Tamandua tetradactyla: one gene and its partners. The protein of the gene in region 1 purifies or fractionates together with the protein of each later gene. This does not show direct contact. Links are inferred from orthologs where the notes say so. Each region holds a gene or a part of one and is shown in the gene's direction. Other genes may lie near its edges. The genes, in order: LARP7, DHX57, YBX1 and YBX3.

The links.
Region 2: the proteins of LARP7 (region 1) and DHX57 purify together in Homo sapiens (affinity purification with mass spectrometry; 3 studies listed by BioGRID and IntAct, with this or other methods). This does not show direct contact. The link is inferred for Tamandua tetradactyla from reciprocal best matches to the Homo sapiens genes LARP7 and DHX57.
Region 3: the proteins of LARP7 (region 1) and YBX1 purify together in Homo sapiens (affinity purification with mass spectrometry; 5 studies listed by BioGRID and IntAct, with this or other methods). This does not show direct contact. The link is inferred for Tamandua tetradactyla from reciprocal best matches to the Homo sapiens genes LARP7 and YBX1.
Region 4: the proteins of LARP7 (region 1) and YBX3 purify together in Homo sapiens (affinity purification with mass spectrometry; 3 studies listed by BioGRID and IntAct, with this or other methods). This does not show direct contact. The link is inferred for Tamandua tetradactyla from reciprocal best matches to the Homo sapiens genes LARP7 and YBX3.

Annotation. Positions count from the first base shown.
Region 1 is NC_135350.1:9,642,800-9,650,476, reverse strand, and holds the start of LARP7 (la-related protein 7), read left to right. Parts: upstream 1-4,668; 5' UTR 4,669-4,957; exon of another isoform or gene 4,958-5,220; intron 5,221-5,255; exon of another isoform or gene 5,256-5,606; intron 5,607-7,204; exon of another isoform or gene 7,205-7,264; intron 7,265-7,677. UniProt on the Homo sapiens protein: RNA-binding protein that specifically binds distinct small nuclear RNA (snRNAs) and regulates their processing and function.
Region 2 is NC_135343.1:10,124,891-10,132,166, reverse strand, and holds the start of DHX57 (putative ATP-dependent RNA helicase DHX57), read left to right. Parts: upstream 1-4,275; 5' UTR 4,276-4,379; exon of another isoform or gene 4,380-5,459; intron 5,460-7,276. Other genes in the region: ARHGEF33 (rho guanine nucleotide exchange factor 33), read right to left, coding at 742-906, 1,876-2,024. UniProt on the Homo sapiens protein: Probable ATP-binding RNA helicase.
Region 3 is NC_135328.1:182,059,477-182,066,405, reverse strand, and holds the start of YBX1 (Y-box-binding protein 1), read left to right. Parts: upstream 1-3,910; 5' UTR 3,911-4,235; coding exon 4,236-4,401; intron 4,402-4,461; exon of another isoform or gene 4,462-4,513; intron 4,514-5,014; coding exon 5,015-5,078; intron 5,079-6,929. UniProt on the Homo sapiens protein: DNA- and RNA-binding protein involved in various processes, such as translational repression, RNA stabilization, mRNA splicing, DNA repair and transcription regulation.
Region 4 is NC_135333.1:73,329,825-73,337,039, reverse strand, and holds the start of YBX3 (Y-box-binding protein 3), read left to right. Parts: upstream 1-4,213; 5' UTR 4,214-4,457; coding exon 4,458-4,719; intron 4,720-7,215. UniProt on the Homo sapiens protein: Binds to the GM-CSF promoter. Seems to act as a repressor. Also binds to full-length mRNA and to short RNA sequences containing the consensus site 5'-UCCAUCA-3'. May have a role in translation repression.

The DNA of each region.
Region 1 (7,677 bases):
AATTGGAAACAATATGTTAAAAATAAGACACTCAACTCGGTCTAGGGCATCAAACAAGGTTTCCCAGGGGCAATGTCTAGGGTGTAACTTGAAATAACTATTAACAAAGAGAAAATGCCAGGGAAGGTCTTTCATGACAGGAATCAATATGTGCAAAGACCTGGGGGAGATACAGCAAGGCAAGATAAGAGAACTCTAAATGGTTATGATTAAAGGGTCAAGTAAAAGGTAATGAAAGAGCTATAAGCAAAGAGGCCGAGGGAGTGAGTGGTAATAGCTTTGAGAGGGCCTTATGTGTCATACCGAGGAACTAGACAACAGAAAGCCACCGAAGGATTTTAATAAAAGGATGCAATCGGATTTGGGTTTTACAAAGATCATTCTTGGTTGCTGTGTGGTGAAAGTATGCAGTAAAAAGCAGCCAAATGATATATGAATACTTGTCCCAGGACACAGGTCACTGGACTGGACCCAGACCTACTGAGGCACTCTTTCAGAAGTATTAAATCTCGACTTTCTATAATTCTTCCTTCCAGCCCACAGGAACGGCTAGCTGCCGAACAAATGCTAAGATACAGAGGGGTCCAGAGAAACACCTATCACTAGCTGGTGCTTTTTGAGCAACCTGCTCCTGGCCACTGAACGGGCTGGACATTTTAAGTATCTAGAGACTCTACAGTGTAGGCATAGTGCCTGGCATGTGGCAGTTATTAATCTTCTATCTCCTAATAATATCAATCATTTATTCTGTACAACTGTATGTTAGACACTTTTTTTAAAAATGCTTTAAATGTTCACAACAACCTTATGGTGTAGGTTCTATTTTTAATCTCCATTTTACAAGAGGAAACAGGTATACGTGAACTTGTTCAATATTGTAAAGTAAATAAATAGCAGAGTGAGAATTCAAAACCAAACAGTCTAAACTCTGGGGCTCATACTCACAAATACTATTTTATTTAGCTACTTACTGAGTACCGATAAGGTGTCAGTAAGGAATTCAGCTAGATATTGTACATATATTTTTCATCCTCATAATCCCAAGGAGTAGGTATTATCATCACAATTACAGACTAGGTATTCAGTGTTTACTAAATTTAGGATTATTTATATACTATTTTAGAGTTGCAAGATAAATTTCCCATACTTTCCCAATATTAGTTTAATGCTTGAATTTACAATTCAGAAGGAACTAAGAGAAGGTTAAAAAGCTCTCACTAATGGTAAATGAGATTATAGAATTAAACGTCAGAAAAACTCTAGCTAGAATATAAAGATTCAGAAGAGCCCTAATATTATATTCATTGGAGAGCTGGCATCCCTTTCTTACCCTTAAATAGGAAAAAATGGTTTTAGACAACAGCATCAAATTATGAGATGCAAGGATGAGACATTTTTTTCAGTGTTTATCTGTCCAGTCTAACAAATAATTCAAGTGTTGACCTACTTCTAAGGCCTAAAGAGTAAGCTGGTTTGGAGGCTCCAGATGTGTTACTGTAATTAGGAGGTGTTGAGATGTTGTTTTTTTTTTCTTTTAATTATTTTTTTTAATTCACCATAACACACAAACACATTCTAACCATTTGATCATTCCATTCTTGATATATAATCAATAACTCACAATATCATCACAGTTGTATATTCATCATCATGATCATTTCTTAGAATATTTGCATCAATTCAGAAAAATAAAAAGAAAATGAAAAAAATTCATACATATCATACCCCCATCCCTCCCTCTTATTGATCACCAGCACTTCAATCTACTAAATTTATATTAACATTTGTTCCCCCAATTATTTATTTATTTTTAATCCATTAATTTTACTCATCTGTCCATAAGGTAGATAAAAGGAGCATCAGACACAAGGTTTTCACAATCACACAGTCACATTGGGAAAGCAATATCATTATACAATCATCTTCAAGAATCATGGCTACAGGAACACAGCTCTACATTTTCAGGCAGTTCCCTTCAGCCTCTCCATTACACCTTAACTAAAATGTAATATCTATATAATGCATAAGAATATCCTCCAGGATAACCTCTAGACTCTGTCTGGAATCTCTCAGCCATCGACACTTTATTTTGCCTCATTTCACTCTTACTTCTTTTGGTTGAGGTTTTCTTAATATTTTGATGCTGAGTTCCAGCTCATACTAGGATTTCTGTCCCACGTTGCCAGAAAGGTCCACACCCCTGGGAGTCATTTCCCACATAGAGAGGGGGAGGGCAGTGAGTTTGCCTGTAGTATATATCTTAAGTATAAAGTTCAACTGGAAACTAAAGATTACTTTTAGAACTTTACATAAGAACCCTTGATACTAATTTTTAAAATGTTCTTGCATGAGGAAGAACAAAGGAATGTCATTATTGCAGGGTGCTGAAAATAGATGGTATTAATATTTTAAAATGTCACCTTATGTGTGAGACTAAAGCAAAAAATGTTTGTTACAAAATTTATATTTTGACTAGTGCATTTCCTAATATAGCCTACACAGTTTGATTGAACAACATAAGTACTTGGAATCTCAGGTAGGACATGAGATTTTGTTGGTTTGTCCAGAGTGATGCCCCAATGAATCCCAGTGTGATTTGATCAGTGAGTGGTAAATTATTTGCACGCCCCCTTCAGGGAATGGTGTGAGCAGGGAGAAATTCAACTTCCCCAAGTTGAATTCTTGATATTCTCACAAGCAGTGTAGACAACCAAAGCTATAGGCTGAGCCCCCCGTCTTGGGGTTTGTTCCTATGAAACTTAACCCCACAAAGGAAAGGTCAAGACTACTTAAAATTTAGGACTAAGAGTCACCCCCAAGAGAGCCTCTTTTGTTGCTCAAATGTGGCCTCTCTCTCCAGCCAACACAACAAGCAATCCCACCACCCTCCCCTGTCTATGTGGGACATGACTCCCAGGGATGTGGACCCTCCTGGCAACGTGGGAAAGAAATCCTAGAATGAGCTGAGACTCAGCATCAAGGGATTGAGAAAAACCCTAGAATGAACTGAGACTTGGCATCAAGGGATTGAGAAAAACCCTAGAATGAGCTGAGATTTAGCATCAAGGGATTGAGAAAACCTACTTCACCAAAAGGGGGAAGAGTGAAATGAAACAAAGTGTCAATGGCTGAGAGATTCCAAACAGAGTCAAGAGGTTATCCTGGAGGTTATTTCTACGCATTGAGTAGATATCATCTTGTTATTCAAGATGTAATGGAGAGTCTGGAGGGAACTGCCTGAAAATTTAGAGCTGTGTTTCAGTAGCCGTGTTTCTTGATGATGACTGAATAATGATATAGCTTTCAAAATGTGACTGTGTGATTGTGAAAACCTTGTGTCTGATGCTCCTTTTATCTACCTTGTCAACAGATGAGTAGAACATATGGAATAAAAATAAATAATAGGGGGAACAAATGTTTAAATAAATTTAGATTGAAATGCTAGTGATCAATGAAAGCGAGGGGTAAGGGGTATGGTAGGCATAATCTTTTTTTTTTCTTTTCTGTGTTCGTTTTATTTTTTTCTATTGTCTTTATTTCTTTTTCTGAACTAATGCAAATATTCTAAGAAATGATCAATATGCAACTAAATGATGATATTGTGAATTACTGATTATATATGTTGATGTTTCATCTGGTTTGTTAATTCTTTTAATTAATAAACAAATTAAAAAAAAAAAAAAGAACCCTTGATACTAAGCCACAAGTTTGGTTTCTTTGGGCATACAATTCCAGCCAAACTCCAGATTTGAGAGTCGTTTGGATGGACAAATGGTTACTTGTGGTGTTTAATCAAACTGATGAGAGAAAAGGGGGGAAAATACCTATCATAAAGCAGGCATAATGAGAAGCATCATGCATCCCAGGTGTGGCTTCTTCAGTGGATCATCTGCAGTGCATCACTGATTTGACAGAGCCTCTACTTCAATGATGCCTGTCTCAAAATGGCTCCCAATGATTTCTGTATTGCAAAATAAAGCCAAATTCTGGAAACCAAAAAAAGAACCCTCGATACTGAATGGTTTTCTATAAAATAGTTCACATGAACCTGAAAGATAATTTTAAATGTTTCTACCCATCTTTGCAGAGTAATAAAAATCAAGATTTCATAACGATTCATCCTGAAAACAACTAATTTTTAATAAGAAAACCTAATACTATTACAGTAATACCACTATCATCCCAAGAAAGAACGTAGATATTATTATAAAATATATATATTTTAAGCTTTATTCATATCTGACTGGCTTACATTAATACTTTTGAAATAGTTAATTCTTAAAAACTTCATAAAAACTGTGAAAAAGATCGAATGATTTGTTATAAATGTTAATAAACGTTTCAAGAAAATTCTGTTTTTAAATAAAAAAGAAAAGAAGGGCAGTGAAGGAAAGACACCAATTATTCCAGGCAATCTGTGACTGCCACCCCCTCTAAACCAGGTTCCGCACAGCTTTCCTTCCAATCCGCTTCCTGTGGAGCAGATTCTTTCGTCAATTCGCCCCAAATCAGCGATGCGGTCTTTTGCTCAAGCCCCCCAGCCTCACTCCCCAGAAATAACCAAAACAATTCACTTCACCTGTTCATAGCCCAAATGCTTTCGAATTTCTCCCGCGAAGGAAGATGACGTCATTCACCTGGGCCCTCACCAGATCAGGACCCAATGCTTAGCCCGCCCACCAACCCCTCGACGAGAACCGCCATTTTCAAACGGCCAATCAAATGCTTCACTGGCTGGGCGCCACCTCGGCCGGTCGCGTTCCCCGTTGCCCCGCCCCCGCAGCCAGTCCCAGCCTGAGAGCTAAATGACGTTCGCGCCGCCTCCTGGTCTGTCTCGTGGGTGGGTGACTGGTGTCGCTCATCCTATGACGCCCGAGTCATCACGACTGTAAAGCTCCGAAGGCGGAAAGGGTAGAAGGACGTAGTCTCTGACCCTCTGTTTTGCGAACTGGATCGAGTAAGTTGCACGTGGACCACAGAATCGGTCAGGGTGGGGAAGGTCTAAAATGCTCGTAGTTCTTTTGTCTTGCTGTCCATTCTGTTATCTGTTTTCTTTCTCACCCCGCCCCTTCTCACGAACCCATCGCTATTTCACCAGTACGAGTTGTCTCTGCGCACGCGCAGTTCTCTGGCGGCTTTTGCAGTTTGTACAGCGTGCAGGCGCCTAGGGTCGGACGTTGGGAGGTTTGGGACACGCCCCACATTTAGCAGCGTCTGTACGTGAGTACGGGTACCGAGACGGGTAGTAGAGTGTAGAGAACGTTCCTAATTTCTGGAATTTGGGATTGAGCGTTGGCCAGTAAAGTATAGGGAATGTAGGGACTTGTATTCCAAAATTTAGTTTTATTCTTTTACAGGAAAGTCCTTGCCTTCACAGAGTTGAAAATCCAGTTATGGAAGAAAACTCACAAATTATAAGCGTTAAAAACACTATATAGTGACAGCATTAATGGGGATCCTTAGAGAAAGCAATTAGGGAAGATGTGGTGGGAGGCCAGAGAACGTAAGAAGACATTTAAACTTGTCCTTGAATGCTGAATAGAGGTTTATAAAACAAGAGAGAACACTCATGCAAGGCAAAGACATTGAAATGGCAGAAATTCCAGGTGTTCAAAGTTACATATGCTTTTCATTACTATTGAGCTATTTTACGACTGTGTAAATTGTAGAAAACTGATAATAAAGCTATTTAGTTTTGTACAGTGGAGAGGCAATTAATTATTGTTCTCACCAGTTTTACAGCTATTAGCAAATTGATTTAGCAAATTGACTTCAGTATCTCTGAATGCCAATCTATATGTCTGCTCATTGAATTCAACTTTAAGATGGTTTTTAACCACTGATCCATTAATTACTTACATAGGACCTTTGGCATGTATTCATTTTATCTGTGTACAGGAATCACGATTTTTTTTAAATATGTCTTAAGAATTTCACGGGTTTCACAAAAACTTGAAACCCACGTATAGTGCCAAATATTTCAGGTTCAGAATCCCCAAGTTAGAACAGAAATTTGCCTAGTGGCAATGTGTAGGACCCTATACTACTTCCTATGTTACAGGAAGGTGCTAAGAAATTACTGTTGAAAGTTTTGACTCGAGGTTGACTTCAAAGAACCTTCAGCTCTGTGTTTACCGCAAGCCGCATAATTTCTATGTAGGATGGATGATTTCTAGAATGGTTTAGAAAACTTTTTCCATATGGTTATATATATTGTGTACCATGTAACAATTTTAATGCTTTATTAAAAATATTTAATAAATTGTTATTTAATAAAAACACTATTCAGTAGTTAAGATTTTTATCCACATTGTACAGACCACAGAGAGGTGAGGTAATTTGCCCAAGTACCATACAGCTAGTAAATAACTAGATTGATTTACTAGGTGGAATATGGTATCATTAAACGAGATGATGATGATAGGAAGAAGAACAGGCCTGGGGAGGTAAGATAACTAAGTTTGATTTGGGCCTGTAATGAAAGTACACATATTTGTTGATATTGATAAAGTACAAGAAAGTGTGAGCCTGTAACAAAAGTACTGCTTTGTAACTTCCTGAACCTCTGCAGCCACTGTGTAGGGGAGGTAAATTGTGCCATAACTTATGTTACTTTCTGCTTCATCTAAATTTCCCTCTAAACTGAAGCTGTTTGATCATCCATAGAATATTTATTAGAGAAGTTATAGATTTGCAGGAAAATCCTGCATAAAGTACAGTTTCCATATACCACATTATTAATAACACCTCGCATTAGTATGGTACATTTGCCGCAGTTGATGAAAGAACTTTTTTATGATTGTACTATTAGCTATAGTCCATGGTTTCCTCTAGGATTCACTTTTTCTGCTATATAGTCCTATGGATATATATTTTTTTAATTTTTGTTCTAGTAACATTTATACAGCCTAAAATTTCCCCTCTTAACTACATTTAAATATGTAGTTCAGTGCTGGTCACAATGTTATGTTCACAGTGCAATGTTGTGCTACCATCACCAGCATCCATTACCAAAACTTTAAAATCATCCCAAACAGAGACTCTGTATCAATTAATCATTAACTCCCCATTCCCTACCCCCACCCCAGCCCCTGGCAATGGTAGTTTCTGACTCTGTGAGTTTGCTTATTCTAATTATTTCATATCACTGACATATAACATTTGTCCTTTTGTAAGTCTGGCTTATTTCATTCACCCAATCCAGAAAAATAATTTTAGCAGAAGAAGTGAAGACAGGTCTCTCAGCTGAAAAATGAGAATGATGGTAAATATCTGCTTTCTGGGAGAATTGTGACTTTGTGTGCATATGCAGTTTTGTCCCGTTTCCTTTAGGTGTCAGCCTTTGATAAGGAAAGGAATTAGCTGATAGTCTGCCCTTTATAATTTAGTTGGTATGGGAAATTTAGTAATGGTGCCAACTGTAGTGATACTCATATCCTATATTTGTATTTTATGTATATCCTCCCATTTGCAGAAGCACTTGAAATGCTTAATACTTTACATTTTATAAGGTGCTGTTAAATATATTTACTTTTATTCAGCAACTACTTAAGTGGTGATCAAGCCAAAGTCCCTGGCCTCAAAGAATTTACATTCCGAGTGAGATTAAAAGACAGGAAAATTATAACTACAGGTAGTGATAAAGAGGACAAAAAAGAAAGTGGTAACCGAGAGGGT
Region 2 (7,276 bases), on another chromosome or scaffold:
GTGTCCAGAGAATTTAAAAGACTGTCAAATCTTACACTGCCAAAAAATAAATAAATAAATAAATAATAAAAAATTTTTTAAAAATTAAAAAAAAAAAAAAGGGCGGGCCACGGTGGCTCAGCGGCAAGAACGCTTGCCTGCCATGCCAGAGGACCCGGGTTCGATTCCCGGTGCCTGCCCATGTAAAAAAAAAAAAAAAAAAAATCTTACACTGCCCAGAACAGCTTTCAGAGAAACACATAAATGGCAAAGAGAACTTATGAAGTCCCTTTCGGAAATTGCTTCGAGGAGAATTGAAAAGGATTAGACAACATTCTTCCTGTGTCACCTCAGACCTATTTCTTATTCTCAGAACCCTGACTTCTGTCCCCCATCGAGGATTTCTTTTCTCCTTAGAGACTTTAACTTGTTTCCCACACTTCTGAGGAGCTATAAAATGCCCTCCTGTCCTCTTAGTATTCTCTCCCCACTTTATTTTTGTCCAAACCTAGAGACCCGTCCTGAAGGAGGACTTAGTTGTGTGTGGTAAGCTTGTTGGGAGCAACTTCCAGCCTATTGGCTTCACTCTTACCACTGTTACCTTTCTCTGGACAACAGATGGTCAGCTGCTTGGCTACCACATCTAGGTCTGATAGGGGAGAAGTTCTGTAGGTCATAATCCAGGCTGGCGTGTTATCCCGCACAGGCTGCCTGGGACCCAAGGTTATTGCCATTAACTTTTCCACAGCAACAGGTGCTTACGTGACAGCAGGACCAGAACTGGGAGCAGAAGGGTAGGAGTGCAATATCTCTTCTGAGTGTATCCCACTGTCACGGACAGCCTCGGGGCCTGCAGTGGGGGAAGCATCTTGTCCAGCATTCGCACACTGGGAAGCCAGTCCTTTGTACAGCTTCACCATGGATGACCTAACAGAATGGAGGTAATAGTTATCAGGGTGTAAAGTGGGAAAATGGCTTTCTGAATATGCTGTGGAAGTGTTTCTCAGATGACACTCAGTCCTGAAGATCTCTGTGTCTCCCAAGACCTCTACAAACCAAGTTGCGTACACAGCAGGGTGCAAACTGGGTGCTGGGCATGAGTGGTGATGCTGATGAACTGGCCGAAATGAGCTTGGGAGTGGCATGGGGTACAATCCCTCTATTAGAGGAGAGCTGACTTGAGAGATACCATTCTTTTCTGGTCTGAAGCACTCAAAGAATATTCTGTTTTCCTGCAGGTAGGTTGGGATGAGGTTGAAGAAAGCTCTGCCTTGTACTGCTTCAGTTCCCTCTGGTGCCCAGATTTTCCCTCATCTGTTTCCTCTTTCTTCCCGGTGTAAAATCTATTCAATTCTCCCTTCCCCTATTTGCTTTATTTTTATCCAAAGCATTTATCACCATCTAGTTTGTTAGCTGATTGTTCAGTTATAGAAAGTAAGCTCCATGGAGCACAGATTTTTGTCCATTTTGTTCATTGCAGTATATTCAGTACCTAGAACAGTGCTAATGCACAATACTTGCTCCATAAATGTTTGTTGAATTAATGAAGGTAACTGCATTCTGGCCTTTGAACTGCAATTTTGAACCTGGCAAATTTATAGAATTGAACTATTTTTGGGGTAGTCAGCAACATGGGCTCACAGGAGGTCTACATAGGCATTAATATGAAATAATTAGTTTTCTAGAGTAAATACCACTAGGTAGTATGTATCTCCCTGCCATAGCCAGCCTGGCTGCCTCTCCCTTCTCTCTCCCACTTCCTTTCTACCCATCACTGCATTTGAGCCACTTCACACACAGTGTGTTTATTTGTGACAGGCACCTAGATTGACTGGTGTACATCCCTCTTCCCAGAAACCTTTGATTGCTCTCCAGACTGTACCATCAGAACCTTACTTCTTGAGCTTTTTCCGTTTCTGAATAAGCAAATCCTCATTGCACTGAAACAGCAGAGTGTAGTGTGAGATAAATACTCGGAGTCGCTGAACACACACCAGCAGTAGGTAATAGTCAGGGTGTTCCTGTTCCGTGAACTTCAGGACATTCTAGATGGAGGAGAGAAGGAAGCAGCATTGTATAATTAAAGTGAAAAGTCCATCTAATTATTAGCTAAAAGATCAAACATGCCGTTCTCTGTCCATCATACCAAGGGAAAATAATAGTCACGATTGGCTGTTTGAGCTGTATGTGAACATGAGATAGTTCCATCTGAAAAATTAGAAGGATCTCAAAAAGCAGATCTCTAAAGTAATGGAAGCATTCTAACAATTGCTGTCTATAAGCAGTACCTTAATCCCCAGGAGTCAGACCAGTGTTAGGCATCAGGGCAGGCTGGTGGAAGAGATGCCTATAATCAGATCTAGCATGGTGACCCCTCCTATTGCATTGCCTTCTCTGCTATAGTGCAGGTACTGCACTAAGATTTGGAAAAGCTGACATTAATTGAATACTTCCTATTTCCAGGTACTAAACTCTCTACATATATTATCTCATTTAATTCTTACAACGACCCTATTAGAAAGTTAGAATTATTGCTTCCATTTAATCAATAAGGAAATCAAGGCACAGAGAAGTTAAGTAAACCTCATGACATCACACATGCAGTGAGTAGTGGAACCAGGGTTTAAACTCAAGTCAGATGACAGTAGAACCAGTGCTGTTATATGCCATACTCTACTGCTTCAGAGATCTGGATTTCAGTTCTACTTTTATGTGTTAACTTGGATAAGTAACTTAATCTTTTTGACACTCTCCAAAGAGTGTAAAAAACTAGAGAAGCACATAGCCTGGATTTCCTCATCTAAAAAAATGGTAATAGTGATACTTCGTAGGATTGTTTAAAGAATGAAAGAAGACAGTTGTGTAAAAAATGCTTTTAAAATCTAAAACCATAATACCGCTTCACACCTACTGTGATGGCTATAATAAAAAATAAAAAAGGTAAAACAAGTATTGGCGAGGATGTGGAGAAATTGGAACCTTCATACACTTGCTGATGGAAACCTAAAATGTGCAGCCACTGCAGAAATAGTTTAGCGGTGCCTCAAAAAGTTAAATATAGAACGACCACATGACCCAGCAATTCCACTCCTAGGTATATACCCGAAAGAATTGAAAACAGGCACTCAGATACCTGTAATCCAACGTTCCTAGCAGCATTATTCAATATAGCCAAAAGGTGGAAACTCGTGTCAGTGAACAAATGAATGGATAAACAAAATGTATTTCCATTAAATGGAATATTATTCAGCCCCCAAAATAAATAAATGAAGTTCCGACATATGCTACAACACAGAGGAACCTTGAAAACATTATGCTAGAGGAGAGGCAGGGGACGCGTCCCACCGACGGCCGCTGCATGCACCGGGAGCGCCAAGCATCGGGCACCCCCGCCACAGAGGGGCCAACCTGCCTGCATCCATGACCTGGGAGAAAGGCCCCTCTAAGGTCCGGTCGGAACCCCAGGAGCCCCGAGGTGCTGCTGACGTATTGTACAAGGAGGAAAGGTTTGTACAACGTTACATCTTAACTGGTCCAAGGACAATGTCAGAGCCTAAGAACAGGTACGTGGGCGGACGGGCGTCCAGAGCCGGCGGAACCAAGGAGCGCGGCCGCAGTTCCCGCCGGGGGACAGGCAGGACGGGACACGGTCCGCCAACCGAGGCCGCCCGTCCGGGTCAGGTAGCTGACCGGGCCTGACTGACCCGCTTCATGCGAGTCAGTAACGTGATACGTGCGCTCGCCAAACCTCTGCCTCAGCCGGGATCAGCTGAACTCAGTTCTTTCCGGCGAGGCGGATAATGGCGGAGTGAGTAGGTGGCGTGAGCTCGAGCCGGAGAATTCTTCGGTGAAGTTCAAACGGAAGACGTCTCAGCAGAAAACAATGAGATTTATTTAGAGCTGACACCGGAAAATTCATCTCGTGCCTTGAAAACTGCCCAGAATGCCTGAATTTTGAAAATCAAGCTGACCAATAAACACTTGGCGGCCTCCCAGTCTCTGTGGAGCGGTTCCCTGTATTAAGCACTACTCGCGTTGTGACACATGACGGCCCCAAAAAAGCTTATTCCGAGGAAACTGGGGAAGGTTTTACAAGAACCTACAACCCCAGGCTCTGATGTTAGTATTTATTTGCCAGTGTTGAAGACAGTGAGGAGTGTGGCGGAGGAAATGGAAAACATCGGCAACAACCTTAATATTGACGCACATAAACGGAGAGCTGAACTTGAAAATAGAAACTGAAATTAGTTTGTTTTACAACTCATTTCAAAGATGTTGGAAAGCCTCCATTGGCCTCTGATAGAAACCCAGAACAAATAGCGGAGGAGCACATAGATATTAGAAAGCTCCTACGATTTCTTGCTGGACAAGTAAATCCTACACGGGCCTTGTGCGACACTGTGAGTAACAGGATTGTCCGTTCTGATTTGCTTCATGAAGAGGTTTTTCCCTTAAGTGTTTCACCCCAGCACTGTCGTAGCACCACCTGACCAGATCGGGAAGCTCAGAGACCTTGGGTGTAGCGGGAAGAGACATGTGGTTCATGTGTTGTAAGGTATTTGTCTGTGCCCTCTGAGTTACACAAATCATAAACACTTTACGGTTTCTTCCTTTGTAGTAGTTTAGGTAGAAATGGACTACTGAAACACAGCTGGATCAGTATTCTTTTTTCTAACATGTGTTGTGTTCTGCTTCTAAGACAGTGGAAAAAGCTAGGCCTTCTTTATGCAGACTTTACATTTCAGTGTCTTATTTGGTGAAGTTGTGCAAATCTCATGTATTTAGTACTGATGAGGTCATCAGAATTTGTAAGTCTGTGGAACATGGTACATCAGCTCAACATGTCCTAGCAGATATTCTTGTTTCTGACACCATGTGCCCTCTCCTTGCCCTGATCCCATAGAAAAACAGCCCTGCCGTAGGCCGCATTTCATTAGCCAGGGAGCTCCATCCTGCTACTCCTCTGTTTCACCCTAGGACTTGCTTTGGTCTTAAGTTATAATTCTTATTTTCCCTGTGCACTGGATCTCTCATTCTGGGAAAAAATAGCAAGATGTCTTTCTTTAGAGATACCATGTAACATAGAAAAAAGTAAAACTTCTAAGCTAGCATGTGCATTAATGATGAAACCGTATTTCAGTTTATCAAATCTGGTTCAGGTACTGATAAATATGCTTTCTTATTCTCCCTCAAGCATGTTCTGCCATATTTCCTATTATAATTAAATTTTACATATCCTATAGAGGTGGACATCATAAACATTATTTTAATTTTATATAAAAAATTCAGACTTGAAAGCAGTTGCCTGGGATATGATACAGAAATGGGATCACCAAATTGAAAAATTCTTTTATGGCTTGTTCACTCTATTTGGTAAAACCAGTGACTCTTCCGCTGTTTAATAATGTTAGTTTAAATGGGTTGTAGTATTTCCTTAAATTGACATTTTAAAATGAAAGGATACAATTTTATTTATTTAATGCCTCTTTCCCCTTTTTGACTTCTAACAAAGTTTATTCTAGCTGCTCATATAAACTTAAAAATCATGATGCAAAATGAAACAGCATCTGAAAATTGTTTTATAAAACTTATTTATAAAACTATTTCCTGTTAAACGAGTTAGAGATTTACCGATCTGGAAAATTGATTATTTTTTATTATTTAAATGATGATTTTAGATGTATAAAGAGGATATATTGATTTTCCTATAAGTTAATAGTAAAGCAGCGTATTTCCTCATCTGTATTATACAAAGTGTCCTTTAGTTTTCTTTGCTCAGGAATTTAGCATGCACGCTTCTTTCATAATTGGAATGTCAGCTATAAAAGGATGTTACCAGAAAGATATGCTTGGGTAGGGCCTTTCTGGATCAGAATATCACAGATATTCTCAGATTATTCAGTGCTGCTGCTTTGTTTTGCAGATAAAATTAAGTAATTTGTTCAGAGAAACAGTAGCAGGCATGGAATTAGCACTCAGAAATTCTGACTCTTTTATAACCCTTTCCCTCACACTTCCTTCTGCTCTTTTGAATGAGGGATGAATAATAGATTTCAAAACTGATATTCACCAATTATTTTATGAGTTGGGAAAGAGTATCTTAGTTTTTAAATCTGCTATGGTAAAGTAGATTTAAATGCAATTTTTAAAATGTCAGGAAACCAGATGTAATTTCCTGCAGCTCTTTATAGAATTTGTCTTTCTATAAAGACCTGATTTTGATGATTTCATGAGTCTGTTAAGATTTTCTCTCTGCATGGAGTGTGGCTGGTTAAAAGAGTTTATCTGGGAGTCAGGAAGCTGGGATCTATTTCCACCTGGTCACCAACTTGCTGTTGAGTGTTGCCAGGCCCTCTACCTCTCTGCATCTACCTCATCTGTAAAATGAGGACTATTCTTACCTCCCATAGTGGAGGGGGCAAATAGAAAACTTCAAACTTACAGAAATTCACAGTGCCCTTTTTTTTTTTTGGAACCTAGGTCTCCAGCATGGCAGGTGAGAATTCTGCCACTGAGCCACCGTCACATTGCCCCATAGTGCCATTTTATTGAATAATATACCAAAGTAAATTGTGGTAGTTCAAAGGGTAGCAATTTATTCAAGTTAGAGGAACAGATATAATTGGAAAAAATTAACTTATTTCAAGACTAATATACTTAAAGTGTTTAGATTCTTTTAAATAGCTTTCTGGATTTTAGAGATAGCTTCTGCTGGCTGTAACCATTTAAGAGTCTTATTAAGAACTGTGGTGTGGTGTGCCCTTTTACATGCGGGGGAGATAGCTGCGTGTTTCTATGTTGGTCACATCTCAAGCTAAGCTTTGGAACCAATCTTGAGTTAAGTAAGGGAGGATTAAGTATTCCTAATCCATCATCTCAGTGGCCTTGTCATTTCCCCACCCAGCGTTCCTTTGTCTAGCTAGGACCAGATCACCTACAGTTTCTCCCCGAGCTGAGTTTCCAGTGGTGCTGTGCCTGGCATAAAGAGCTGTGTTCATACTGGTATTCTCGGGTCCCGGGGTTTGGTCTCTGAGTGTCTGGGGCTGGGATTCAGGTACAGGCACTGAAGACATTTGATGACATGCATGCTCTTGATATATATTACCAAACTGGCAGAGCTTTGTTTCTAAAGAGATGCAATTCTGTACTTCTTCTGTGGATACTAATAGAGGTAGCGTAAAAGGAAGCTTGAGAGTCTTTGGATTTTTAAAATTTTTAGGTATAGTTGGTGAAGTAGTAGATACAAATCATTTGTTATAATTGGTATCACCTCAAGATTAGAGAAATACATTAACCC
Region 3 (6,929 bases), on another chromosome or scaffold:
TTTGAATCCAGGGTCATTTAAACTATTGGTGTTCTTGAGAAATTTTCTTCCCCTTTCTGAGCTCAGTTTCCTCATCTGTAAAATGGGGATAATACCTAGATTTGCCTCATAGTTTTCTGAAAGGGTCAAATAAAAGAGAATAGATATGAAGGAATCGTTAGAAACAGTAACATGTCTTTGAAAATACCTCACCATAAAAAGATTCCACTGAGTATGTTTAAGAGGAAAAGAAAAAAGTTCTCTGGTGTTCCTTTCATGAAGTATTTTACAAGTTCTCCCATTCCTGACTTTACCTACTTTATTCCCATCTCATGGACAGGATGCTATCTATGCCTACTGGCAGCAGGTTACTGCAGCAGAGGTAGCAGAGAGCCAAATTCTATGATAGAATCTGGTTAAACATGCTGTTTCAGTATACTGGGAGACAAGGGGGGATGTGAGATATACAAGACCCTACAATGTAGATATTCAGAACTCTCTGTAGCCAAGTAAGCAGGGACCAGAGCAATCAGTAGGGAAGGAAGGGACTGTGAACTGGAGGAAGACAGATCTTCAGTTAACTAGGCAGAGAGGTGGGAAGGAGGATGAGCAGATATGTTCCTGAGCTGATATTCTTATGGGCTAACTATTTAGTTGAGTTCAGTCATACCTGGCACCTCCATTTTATGCCAGTCCCTGTCCTGGGCACTGGAGTTGCAACAATGAGTAAGATGTAGCCCATGCGTGTGACAGGAGACAGATACAGTTTCAGTTCAAGGTGGAATTAGAATGTGAGCCCTTACGAAGGCAGGAAATTGTTTACTGCTGTGTGTCCCCTCCCCCACTGCCCCCAGCACCTGGAGGAGGTGTCTAGTGTCTCATGGGTGCTCAGTTAAGTATTTGTTGCATGAATAAATGATGATGTTGGTATGTACAAGATGCTATGGGAGTAGAGTGGAGAGACTGCAGGTAAGAGGAAGATGTCAAAGAAGGCTTCTTGAAAGACTGACGTTTGAGGTAATTATTAATGAATTGGTTAGAAATAGCCAGGAGATGAAGGTGGAGAGGGCTTTCCTGGAAGAGGGAACTGTGTTCTTAGACAAGAGTCTGTTAGAGATGGGGAAGAAGGTGAAAGTTATTTTGCAAAGTAAATTCTTGAACACTCTTGCCCTTCATATCACTAAAAGCTAGGCAGTGAGGTTATCTGTGCTGTGGTCACCATAGGCCACTGAGCAATATGAGTGAGCCCTCAGAATGGCAGGAGGATCAGCAGAACTTTGGAGTGGGAGCTCTCACTTTGGAAGGAAAGATGTATTTCCACATATTATGTTATCTTATGGTGCTCCAGTAGTGCTAATATAGAGGTGACTACAAGGAAACTAGCTTTTCTGTCTTAAGAAGTTCATCTACACATTGGAGGAGCATAAAGAGAAAGCCCCTTGAAAAAGTAAAAAGTAATTGGATAAGTAGTGATACTTTAAAGTAACATTTTAAAGACATGTTTCAAAATTTGTATTCTGCTTGAGAAGCCATCCCTTCAAAGCAATTGCAAAGGCTGCTCACTTCAACAGTCAAAAGTCACCTAGAATTGGAATAGCAGCTTTGGAATCCACCTGCTTCTCTCCGTCCACACTGTGGCTCCAAGCCTTCTTTTTCATGTGTATTACTAATACGGCTACCCAGGAGACCTTTTTATTTCCAGTGCTGCCTCCTCCAAACCATTTTCCACACCATGTCATTCGTTTAACATATCAAGCTATTATATATGAAGCACATTGCTAGGTGGTCAAGGAAGACTTAAGAGCAATACAGTATCAGGAAGGGGTTAGTACAGGATGCTATCAATATAATCACACGGGGGAAACACCTGAGTGACATCTAGTACTCTATAAGTAAGCAGCCAGGACCTAAAAGTTGAAGAGTTAACCAAGCAAAATGAAGGGGAAAATGAATAATGTTATAGTCTGAGGGGGTAGCCCAAAGGAAGCAATGACTAAAAGATCACCTGGAAGATTGGGCAAGAATTGAAAGAGTGGAAAGGTAAGAGTTTAATTTGGTTCAGAGTCCTATAAACCACATTATGGTATTTGGACTATACCAAGGGTAATGGAAGTTACTCGAAGACATTAAGACTGTCAAGGTCAGATTGGTTTTTTCAAAAGAGCATTCTGGTGGTTGAGGTGGAGACTGTAAGAAGAAAGCAGTGTGTGTGTTGGGGGGTGGCAGCAACCAGTTAGGAGGCTAATGCTCTAAACCAGAGGTCAGCAAACTGACTAGCAAGCCAGATCACACTTGTTTTTCTATGGCTCATGAACTAAGAATGGTTTTTAAAAATTTCAAATAGTTGGAAAAAAGTCAATCTTTTATGTAAAAATTATATAATTCATATTTCAATGTCCATAAAATAACATTTTATTGAAACACAGCTGCACTTGTTTATGTATTGTCCATGGCTGCTTTTAAGCTATAATGGTAGAGTAGTTGAGATAGAACTGAATGGCCCACAAAGCTTAAAATGTTTACTATATGGTCCTCATTTTTAAAGTTTGCCTAATCCGACTGTAAATAACAGTTGATGATGGCCTAAACTAGAGTAGTGGCAGTAGGAATAAGAGACCGGACTGACTTAGAGATTTTTAGGACTGGTTCAGGGAGGCCTTAGGGGATGGAATTGACAGGCTGAGATATTACTGATGGGACAAGGAGTAACCTTTCCCATCACAACTCACAACTTTCTCTGCTTCCATTCTCTTGCCCATCCGCAACTCATTTTCCACTCAGCAGCCATTTTAAAAAGGCCATGCCCAGTCTCTAGCTTCCAACTCTTAAGTTACTCTTCTCACTACTGCCCTTGGGGGAAAACTAAAAATATTCCTAATTTGATCCTGCCTACCTCTTACAACCCCATGTCTTCATTCTAGCTTTATTCAACTACGTTACTCGCAGTTCCCCTGAGACAACCATCTGGTCTTGTTTGGGGTGGGGGTGGGGGTGGGGGGCTTCGCATAAACCGCCCTGCGCCTGCAAAGTCAGTGTTTCACCCTGCGTTCCTCCTCTCCCAAGATGCTTTGTGCTTTAACAACCGTGGCGTGAAACGGGATGTTCAAATTTCTGCCCAAATCTCCAGACTGAATTCCAGAAGGCAGAAACTGACTCGCTCTTATTCCATCTCCAGCATATAGTAGACGCTTAATAAAGAACGAATGGAGCCGGAGGACTTACGCAACATCAGGTCTCCGCCTCAATTTTATCGTTTGTGAAACGTGGACAGTAATCCCTACTTCACATGGCTGCTGTAAGGACAAAACGCAAGAAAAAATGCCTAGTTTGCTCAAAATACGAGTTGAAATCAGTCTGAAAAAAGATGTGAATTCTCAGGAAAGCACATTCCTTATATGCCAGATAAAATAGATCGGAACGCGGTCTCCAGGGAGCACACAGCAGCCCCCACCACCTCCCTAAATATGCTGAGCAGGGGGGGCTTGAGAGCCCGCGCGGTCCCCTGAGGGTGACTGCGCCGCCCAAAGCGGACTCTTCTCGAATGCATACGTTTAAGTCTGATACTGGAGAAACCCTCCGCTGTTCCCCGTGTATGCGGCCATTATGGAAAGCCCGCTGTATCCCCGCGGTAACACTGAGTTCACAGGACCATATATGGAGCAGGGAAGGAGGGAGGCTGGCAGTCCCTCCACAAGGGGCTAAGGTGTCACTGGGCCCCCTTCCACGCCGCAGGTCAAGCAGGGTAATTCCGGACCAGGCGTTTGGCCGCGCCTTTCCCTCTGGGCTGGCACAACCCAGGACGTAGAGGCCCGTGCGGACTACACCCTCGTGAAAGTCACGTTCTCTCTGCCCACCCTCTCTGGTTCTCTATGGTTCTCGTGGTGACTCTACCCTAATTCTAGTTCCGGTCTCTATGGCGGCGGCGGAGGCAAGAACGGTTGTAGGTCTGTCGAATTAGCCGCCTAAGAGCCAATGAGAGTAGAGGAGTGATAAAGTATTAGTCAATAGGGGCCAGAAGTTGAGGTCAGGTGGTGGGATTGACAGCACTGCTGGCCAGTGAACATCTTTAGGGCGGGCCGATCACAGGGCTTATCCCGCCTGTCCCGCCATTCTCGCTAGTTCGATCGGTAGCGGGAGCGGAGAGCGGACCCCAGAGAGCCCTGAGCAGCCCCACCGCCGCCGCCGGCCTAGTTACCATCACACCCCGGGAGGAGCCGCAGCTGCCGCAGCCGGCCCTAGTCACCATCACCGCAATCATGAGCAGCGAGGCCGAGACCCAGCAGCCGCCTGCCGCCCCCCCCGCCGCCCCCGCCCTCAGCGCTGCCGACACCAAGCCCGGCACCACGGGCAGCGGCGCAGGGAGCGGCGTCCCGGGCGGCCTCACATCGGCGGCGCCTGCCGGCGGGGACAAGAAGGTCATCGGTGAGGGCCGAATGGAGACGGGGGTGGGGCAGAAGGGGAGCCTGGCCGCGGAACCGTTACCCGAAGCGAGGCGAGGAGGCGAGCGCGCGGCGGGCAGGGACCGACTCCGCCGCGCGCGGCTGCCCCTCCCCCACGCCCCCCCACGCGCGCACTCCCCGGCGCCGGCCCGCGTGCCCGGCAGGCGCGCGCGCGCCACCGACCGCGTGTGCGGCGGGGTCCGGTCCTCGCCCGCCGTTGTTCCTGTCTCCCCCACCCAGCTCCCTTCCGCGTGTACCCTGAGGGCGCGGCGTGCCGCCTACGCAGGCCGGAGTGGGCCGGGGCGGTTTCCCCTTCCCTCACGTGCTCTCTCGCTGTCTTCTCGCACACCCATCTTGGACCCGCGCCCCAGGCCTGCCCGTGGGGCGTACCGGGCCATCCAATTAACCCACGTGTTCCGTTAAAGCGTCCTGGTGGCGGTAGCAAGGTCCTGGAAACGGGCTTTGAAGGGAAAGGCTGTCAGGTGGCCGCGGCCCGGGCGGCTGGGAAGCGTGTGAGGGACCGGATGCTGAAGTGTGGCTTTTTTAAAAAGAATACCTGGTAATTGTGGGGTTTTTTTTTTGTCTGTTTTTTCCAGCAACGAAGGTTTTGGGAACAGTAAAATGGTTCAATGTAAGAAACGGATATGGTTTCATCAACAGGTGAGATGACCGTCACTGAAGCTTCCATCCTCTTGCATGTTTTCTACTCCGGCTGTAGGTTTTGCGTGGCTTTATTGTTTTAAGGATATGGAGATACACGCGTGTTCAGGGTGTGTGATACCTCTAGTGTATTAGTGTGATGTTCGTTTTCCTTGATGACTGCAAGGAATAGTGATCTAGAGATTTTCTTTGTTTTGCAGTTGTATCTTAACTTCTGAGGCTTCATTGGGGCACAAAGCACTTTTAAAAGGCAAGCAGAGTGTTTGAGCCATACCGTAGCAGGTTAGGACAAACTGAAGAAACTATGGTCCAGTACGAATTTTTCAGTTATATTCGGGTCCACAACGTTTTTGTTCTTCTCATCTTTTTTGTATATTTTATTGAATTTTTATTGAAATGGTTTTGAGAAGGAGCCCCGTTAGGTTATTTATAACATGTTAACCTCTTGTGGTAAGATGTTTTGACACGTTAAGTGTATGCGATTTTATCATCCTTATTGTAAGATTATACTGCCTTTGTTCCAGTAGATGCTGTCTTTTAAATACCTCGCATGAAATCTTTTATTAGAGCTGTTTTAACAAAAGGGTGTGTTGCTTTATTTATTTTTATTTGTTCATAGGGTTAAGTAACACTTGTGGAAGAAAATAGTCCGTACCCGTCCATAATTTTTGTTTCTCCTACTTACCTGTCCCAAAGTCGAGCCATAATATTAAATCAAATTATTTTAAAGTCTTGGCTATATGTTATTAGACGGCTTTAGTCCGGATGCCAAAGTGTGTGGCTCTTCGTATTTCTTCATATCTGAAGGTGTGGTTACAAAACACCTTCAGCATTTATCCTTAAAATTGCCTGTAGTAATAGTGATGGGGAACGTGCAGTTGATTCACAGCACTCTGCATGGATCTCCCTTGTGAGCCGGGCATCATTTTCAAGATGGCTGCCAAGGCGAGTAGTGCAGATACATGGGTGTAGAGCAGTGTACATTAACGGGGATCTCGGGCTTACAGGTAGGATATGTAACACCATGTCAGCATTTTTTTTTTCTTCTTTTAGAAAGCTTTAAACAGGTAGATGTTAAAAGCATGTTTGAGAGTAAGAAGTAAAAGTAGAATGTTTGAAATGTACAGTGTACTGCAGGAAACCAAATGGGCAAGATCAAGTTTAAAGACTGACATAATTGATGAATGAAAAAGCATTCATCAGTCAACCATAAAATATTGAGGAAACACTGGAAGTAAAAGAGATAAGCATTTGATGGTCTGTCTTCCAATTTGCATTTTAGGGAAAACATTTTGATTCTTCAATATCTTAAGGAATTTTTCACCTTTTATACTGTAGCAGGCCAAAGCTACATATTCTCATCAGTTTTGTATGTTTTGATGATGGATTGCTAGGGAAGAAGGAAGAGAATCCATTTACATCATTGATTGACTACTTTTTAGTTGATTGATCTCTCAATTATTAGTGTTTCAGTTAGTATTTCATATTACTCTGATTCTCCTTTCTGGTCTAAGCTCTAAACCAGTGGTTTTAAATTAAGTGTGCTTACCTTGGAAGAGAATACCCTAATTTCTCCTTCAGAGCACCTGATTTAATGAGAGTTCCAGGTGATAGTCTGTGGGCCACACCTTGAGACACATTGCTTTTAATCCTTGATAATGTCATTATTTCTTGTGCACATTAGAAGAGGCTGTTAATTTGCATGTGCCTTTTGGGTTTTTTTGCATTTTTTTCAAATGGCACAGGTTATGATATTTTCAAAGTAAATAATTTATATGCAAGATGTAAAAGTAGTTCTTTACATATTATAAATAGTTATGCCATGAGATACTATTCTTTGAATGTCTCCGT
Region 4 (7,215 bases), on another chromosome or scaffold:
TTCTTTTTCACACGCTCCCACCAAAAGTGTGCAATTTACTAGTCCTTAAAGAAAGATGAAGACACTGTCAAAATAGTTCATTAAAAAAATTAGAAGCAAAATAAGTGCAAAAAAGTCTTTTAGAACCTGGAGCTTTTGTTCCAACATATGCTGAAATGATCAATTTGCCTTTTAATATCACAGGTACCTTTTCTGAAACCTTTTATCCAACTTCCCATAGGGAAGGGTTGAACACAGTGAATCCCCACCCCACTCTTAGCTCTCTTATTGAAAAGGAAAAAAATTCAAAATATATCTTCACTTTGGTATGTCAATATATATTACTTAAAGTTAAAGGAGAGTGTATGTATACAAGGGTGTGGCAGCATGGAACATAGTTGAAGGGTAATGGATAGTAAATCAACTTTAATGGATAGTGCTTACCCTAGAGTTTATCAATGACATTTTCATAGTTATTCAGAATTACAGAATTACGGTTCATTTAAATTTTTTGGCTATGTCATGAAAGAAGCTCAAGTTACCCTAGCAGGTAGCATTATCTTGAAGGATTATCAGATTGATGTATGGTCCAGCTTGTAAACCCAGGCTTTTTCACAATAACCACAGGTAAATTGGCTTCTGGGGATCATTCAGGTTAACTTTCTAGTTGTCTAGAAGACTTCTGATGCTCAATTTGGTAGCTGCCAGCCACAATGAGGTGTGTAAAAACTGTAAAATACACATTGGATTTTGAAGACAGCACCAAAAAAATGCATTATCAACAATTTTATATTGATCAAATATTAAAATGAAAATATTTTTGATATGTTGGCTTAAATAAAATGTATTAAATTTAATTTCACTATTTCTTTTTACTTTTTAAGATATGGCTACTAGAAAATTTAAGAGTACTTATGTGGCTCACATTTTGAAGGCTCAAATTACATTTCAAATGTGCGGTGCTGGTCTAGACCCTAACTCCTTGAATACAGGGGCCATTCCTGTCTTGTTATGCATGATATCTTTAGTTCCTAAAGTGAATGATCAATACATGGGTGGAATGCATTATTAGTGAATGCCAAACAGAGCATATCTCCCCTTTAACATTGATGGAGACACCTTGAAAAATCTTTGCTCTCCTATTCCTCTACTTTTTTATTCCCTTCTGTGTTGTTTCGACATCAATCAGTTTAGTTAATGCTTTACTGTTTTACAATTTCAGATATGCTAATCTATCAGTGCTTCCTTACTTTAAGCTCTAGTCCTTTGGATGGCTTGCAGTATTCTAAATCTCCTTAGTCAGTTCATTGCATTTTCTTCCTTAGGGTGATAATGCTGGATAGCCTCCTATCACTTATCATCATTAGCCTCTTCAAAGGTAAGAACTACATTCCCCAGAATCTCCTTTCCTGTAGTTAGAGATTGGAATCTGTCAATGAGCAGCACTCCCTCAAGATTTATAAGGCACCCAGGAGACCATTACTTTCTAGAATCAGTTACTGGAAGATGCACGGACAGATGGAGGTTCAAAGCTAATTCCAGATAAACTTCTTGAAGAGAAACTGGGTCTGTGTTTTCAACTGAGATAGTTGGTGTCAGGGAGGGCATGCCATTAGACAAATGAAGTTCAAACTTTAGGGCTCCTCTCTTCCACCCTGCTTATTTTGTATGCATAATTTTATATTCTTTTCTTAAAGGTGCTCTCTAAATTGTATAAGGTTTGAGCCTCACAAAACTGGCATCTAGCCCTGAATGACTGCGTGCTTCCCAGAAATCCTGTGATTCCAGTGGCTTCAGGAGGGCACTGGAGAACCACCTTCTTTGGGGCTGGAGTCAGGGATCTTCAGTGCAGCCTCTCCGACTTCCCTTCCCCCAGCACTTCCAACAATTGTGCAAGCTCTAACTCCCCTCATACTAGGAACAGAGAGGCTTTTGTTTTCATGACCAAACCAGTCATTGCTAAAAAATGATTGCTGTCAACAATTAGATTATGATTCTTTTTGTCCCACTTAATCTCAAATTTAAGCAGTAATGATACTTTTCTTACAATATAATTGATGGTAGTGAAAAAAAGATAATTTAATATAATATAAAGAAAAACCTTAGAGCAAGCTTTATGTTGATCAACCTTGCATACTTATAATTTCACACATTGCCACATATGCCAGCTTAATAAATATGTGCTAATGAGTGAGTGTGTGAATTAACGACTGAGCAGAGGAAGGATAAATTTATGTGCATCTGTCTACATACTGCTCTGTAGTTATGATTACTAAAATAACATAGATCATGTCTGCTCTAATTAATTCTCTCTAGATTTATTTAGCATAGTATCAAAAATCCCAGCTGCTTGCTGGGATTTTTTTGGATGAAAATGATGAGTAGTTATGGGAGTCATTCCAGCACAAATTCTAGGAAATCCCAGTGTGCATTTGTAATTATTTTAGGGTCTTCCAGAGGTTGGAGACAACACCTGTTAGTTATGATTTGTTTTCCAAGAGTGAATATAAAAAAAAGAGGGAGCTGACTATTGGATCAGAGATCAAAGAGTTCAACCCCTTTCATTTTTTTCTTGCAGTCAAATTGTGCATGGTAAATAGCAATGATAATCATATTGTTGGGTAGGAAAAATCAGTGGCCAGTTCTCGCCAGAATAAATCGTACGTACAGCATAATTTTAATTAAGACTATAACCTTTAAAATTAAGATGACATTTAATCATGCTTAGAATATTAGACCGGCCTCTTTAATGCATCCACATATGTATAGCATTACTGTATGCTTCATATTGAAAGCAAGTGAAAATATGGATTTAACTTTAGAAGTTTGTTATTTTAAAAATATACATATTAACTACATGCAAAAACCAAAACTTCCACAATTTGCTATTTTTTTTCTAAGAATCAATTTTCTTTAATTTGCATTTTTCATGGATGGAATAAAGTAAAAAGGCAGGATAGTTTCATAATTGATAATGAATGTGAAGATAAGCAATTGAATTTGGAAGATGTTGGTTTTTTTTTTTTTTTTTCATTTAGTAAAAACATTTGCTATATTCTAACCCTATGCTAGGTACTGCGCTAACCAGTGAGGATACAAAGTTGAATTAGACTTGATCGCTACACTCCTAAAGTGGGGCAGACAGCTATATAAACACTGTAGGAAAACATAAGGAAAAGCTTTAGGAGAGAGGGGAGCTAATAACTGAAAGTTAACATTGGTGTTACATATGACAATCTCATTTACTTTTCACCCCACCTTTGAGCAGTTCTCATCTCATAAAGGAAGAAATAACTTGGGGACATTGAATCCCTGGCCCAAGTAAATTCAGTTAATAAAGAGCAGAACCAGAATTTATACCTGGGCCTGGCTGGACGCTAGTGGCAAAGAACATCAAAAATCCTTTATTCCTTATAGTCCTTGGGGGCAGGTCACAGTCCCTCTGGTCATGAGTTTAGCGTAATCCAGCCCATTCTCTACAGGTCACGTGGGTTTTTCAAACTGGGAATAACCTTTATTGAGTGTTCTGTATCTGCACTTCTTATCCCTAAAGCTAAGAGGGCTCAGTTGCAGAATTCCTGTTCTGCTACTGGAGCAGAAGGTAGGGCATGGATTGATAAAAGTTTTTTCAAGTACACAATTAAACACATTGACAGCTCATTGTTTGCGTTAAAGTGGCTTAAACTCTGATATTCATTGTCTGAGGTCTGGACTTCAGTTACTTCACCTGTGTGTTATAAATTAGTTTATCCCTAAACTACCTTTGGGGAGTAAATTGGCAAATAGATTTAGGATTTTATTTCAGGTCTTCATTGCTGTATCAGAAATAGTTTCTGGTGCTCGATAAATGTGAATGAATAAATGTAAAGGATTTAAAATGAGTATGTGAAAGACTGAAGCGCAGCGCAACGTGGATGTCCTATTTGACGTCTCCTAAGAGTCAGTTTCAAGTGTCTAGACGTTGTGAGGGAGGAGAGCCCTCTGTCCCGCTCCAACACAGGAACAGCATAATTCATGGTCCTTCGAAAACTCCAGATGCCAATCAAACCTCCTACTCACCCTTGCTTTCCTCTACTCTCCAACTGGGCGGCTGCGCATCAACCCCGGCGGGCTGGCGAGTTGGAAAGGGCACCAGGCGCCTTTAAATGCTAATGAGACTGGATGCCCAATTCTGGAGCCAAGTTTCCCCACCCTCTCCCCTCGCCCGCCCTTTCCTCCCGGGCCCGTGCGCCGCCTAGAAAAACTTGTGCGGGGCCATTTTTGGGGCAGTAAGATCGAGCGAGGAGCCCAAGATCCAGGCGCACAGCCCGAGAGCTCGAGCCGCCTCCGCCGCGAGACCCCACCTCGGCCGCCGCCGCCTGCGCCGCGAGATCCGCACCGGCCTCCCCGAGAGCGAGCCCCGGCCGACGCGACCACCAGCCGCGCTAACCGCCGACCAACCGCCAACGAGGTGCCCAAGTGAGAGCAGAGGAGGCGGCATGAGCGAGGCGGGCGAGGCCACCACTACCACCACCCTCCCGCAGGCTCCGGCGGAGGCGGCCGCCGCGGCCCCCCAGGATCCCGCGCCCAAGAGCCCGGTGGGCAGCGGCGCGCCCCAGGCCGCGGCCCCGGCGCCGACCGCCCTGGTCTCAGGAAACCCGGGTGGGGACGCGGCCCCCGTAGCCGCTAGCACCGCGAGCACCGCGGCCCCCGCCTCTTCAGCCACCGCCGGCAGCGAAGACGCAGAGAAAAAAGTTCTCGGTGAGTCAGGGCCGGGCGTGCAGAGCGGCGGGCCGCCGAGCACGTGTGGGCAGCTCCAGCTCGGGGCGGGGAGAGGCTGACAGTCCGGGGTCCGCCGGGACCTCGGGTCCCCAGCACAAGGGCCGCGGTCCACCTGCCTGGCAGCGCTCCCAGGAGAGCGCACCGCGCCCTGCACCCCTCGCGGTCCAGTGCGCGTCCCTCCTGGTTCTGGGCCAGCAAGCTGGGGACTTAACTTCTGTCTTCCAGGCAGGCGCTGTCGCGGATTCCCGTAGTGGAGGGCGCCTTATCCTAAGAGGGAAGGAGCGGCGGTCTGGGAAGGAGGGGACCCCGGGTAGGAATGGATGTGGATGTAGGGGAGGGTCAGACAACGTGGGCCGGGGATTTTGGAGGCCTAATTTGGGATCTGGGGAAAACGAAAAGATTTCCTTTGATGAGGAGTGCAGTGCCAGATGGAGGCGGGAAGGGCAAGGTGGAAAGGTTTCTTGCAGGGATGGCTCAGCTGTCTGTCCCTGACGCCCTTCCCACGTGGGCATCGGGAACACACCATGCTGTTGTCAGCCACATGCCGACTAATAGGTGTTGTAATCCTCTCCGGGAAACTTGGGTCTAGGTCCCACGTCTTCTCCCCCTCTCGCTGTGCCCCTACTGCCAAGAGCCATTACGTGTCCACCAATCGCTGCACTTTTGCTAGACTGTGGGAACACACGTGTCGCGGCAGCTGAAAAAACTTTATCGGAAGTGTGGGTATGACGTTTGCTCAAAACATCATTACCTTATGGCTTGTGATTTAGGCAGGGAAACATTAAGATGAGATGGTCAAGTATGGGGGCAAAGCGTTTCTGTGGTGGTGGTGGTTTTGCCACATATTTCAGCGTCCTCTCCTCCATGAAGTAACGCCCTGTGAAGCCTTCCACAGGCTTGCAAAGCATGTGGGTGGTGAATAAGCTCACTACAGGGTGTGTGCCTAAATCACTCACTCTTTCTTAAAGTGGAAAGTTACAGGTGGTTGTAGGATGCTTCAGATACATCATAAGTATTTTGGGTGGGGCATGTTAGTCTAATTTCTCTGAACCTTGCCTGCCAATTAGGAAGAAATTGAGGGAATACTATGAAGAAAGTATTACACGATTCGTTGTCACCCAGCTTGAGAGGCCTGTTTTCCTGTTTTTTTTTTTCAGTGCATTTACTCAGTTCCTGCCAAACAAATATGCTAAATGTAACTTGTGTTGGTTAAGAAACAAAATAGCCCTCTTTTTGCTGGATTAAAAGTTTCCAAAAATCCAGTCAATATTGTATTGTTTGCTGCAAATGTTTCTTGGAATACTAGAGTTAGGGTATCCTGAGTTATCTAAAACAGTGCTAAGAAATAACTCTTGATATTTTATATATAAGAGCTTTTGCAGTTTTTCTTCTGATCTCTGTACTCTTATGCTATAGGGCAAGCAGATATTACCTTTAGTTTAAAGATGAAGAAAACAGATAAATCTAAGTTAATTTCCTCAATCACCGACGGCTATTAAGACTCTCCTGAATTCCTGGTGATTTGTCTCAAGGTCTTTGGTCTTTGTGCTTTACCTCCAACTCTGGAAATGAAAGACAATCTTCTACATGACATTTCAACACCGTCTCTGTCCAGCGTATTCTGCCATCTGTTTTCCTTTGTCAAGCAGACACTTGGTGCCTAAGAGGTGGTAGGCACAGTGCTGTCTGAAAGGGAAACTTGGGCTTCTCCCATTCTGGTTTTTAAACACAGGCCTTACATTCAGTGTAGAGCACCTAGGTCAGGGAAAACGGTTTACATTTACCAAACTTCCTCCTGCTGAACCCTGTAGGAGCCTGGTCTTCCTTTGGCTGCCACCATTCTCCCTCTTGCCTTTGTGTATATGAGGCAGTTTATGGTTTTGAAGAGGCAAGAAGTTTGAATGAATGTGCTTGACCACGTGAAGTCCTTAGAAGTAATTTTTGAAATTAGAGAAAACAATGTTTTAGCTACATTGAGGAATAAAAATAATTTTCAGCCTTCATTGAAATTAGACTTGAAAATATTTCTCCTTTCCCCCCCTCCCCAATTATTTAGTGTTGTTTTTTAAATCAAGACTATTCTTTTGACAGGGCTAAGCATTATATAAAAATGAATCACAACAGCTAGTATTTTTGTAAGTAATTAATTATTGGGCAAATGAAAGAGGGAAAAAATGGCATATCATTTGGAACAACGTGTAACTTAAAAAGTGTATAATTTATCAAAAAGGACATCCTCTGTGTACATTTGGATCTAAAACATCATACTTTTTGCCTCCTATGCCCTGCTGCTCTAATTAGAATGCTCTCAAAATGAAGATTCCAATGGTTTGATCTCTTGGAGAATTCTTCCTTACTTCTTGGAATTAAAGATGGAGAATGCTTAATCAAAGCGGGATGAGTGAAGTTTTCTGTTGTGTTTTTTTTTTTTACAAAAGGCTAAAATAGTTACTAAGCTTATCAGTCTAGCAAAAT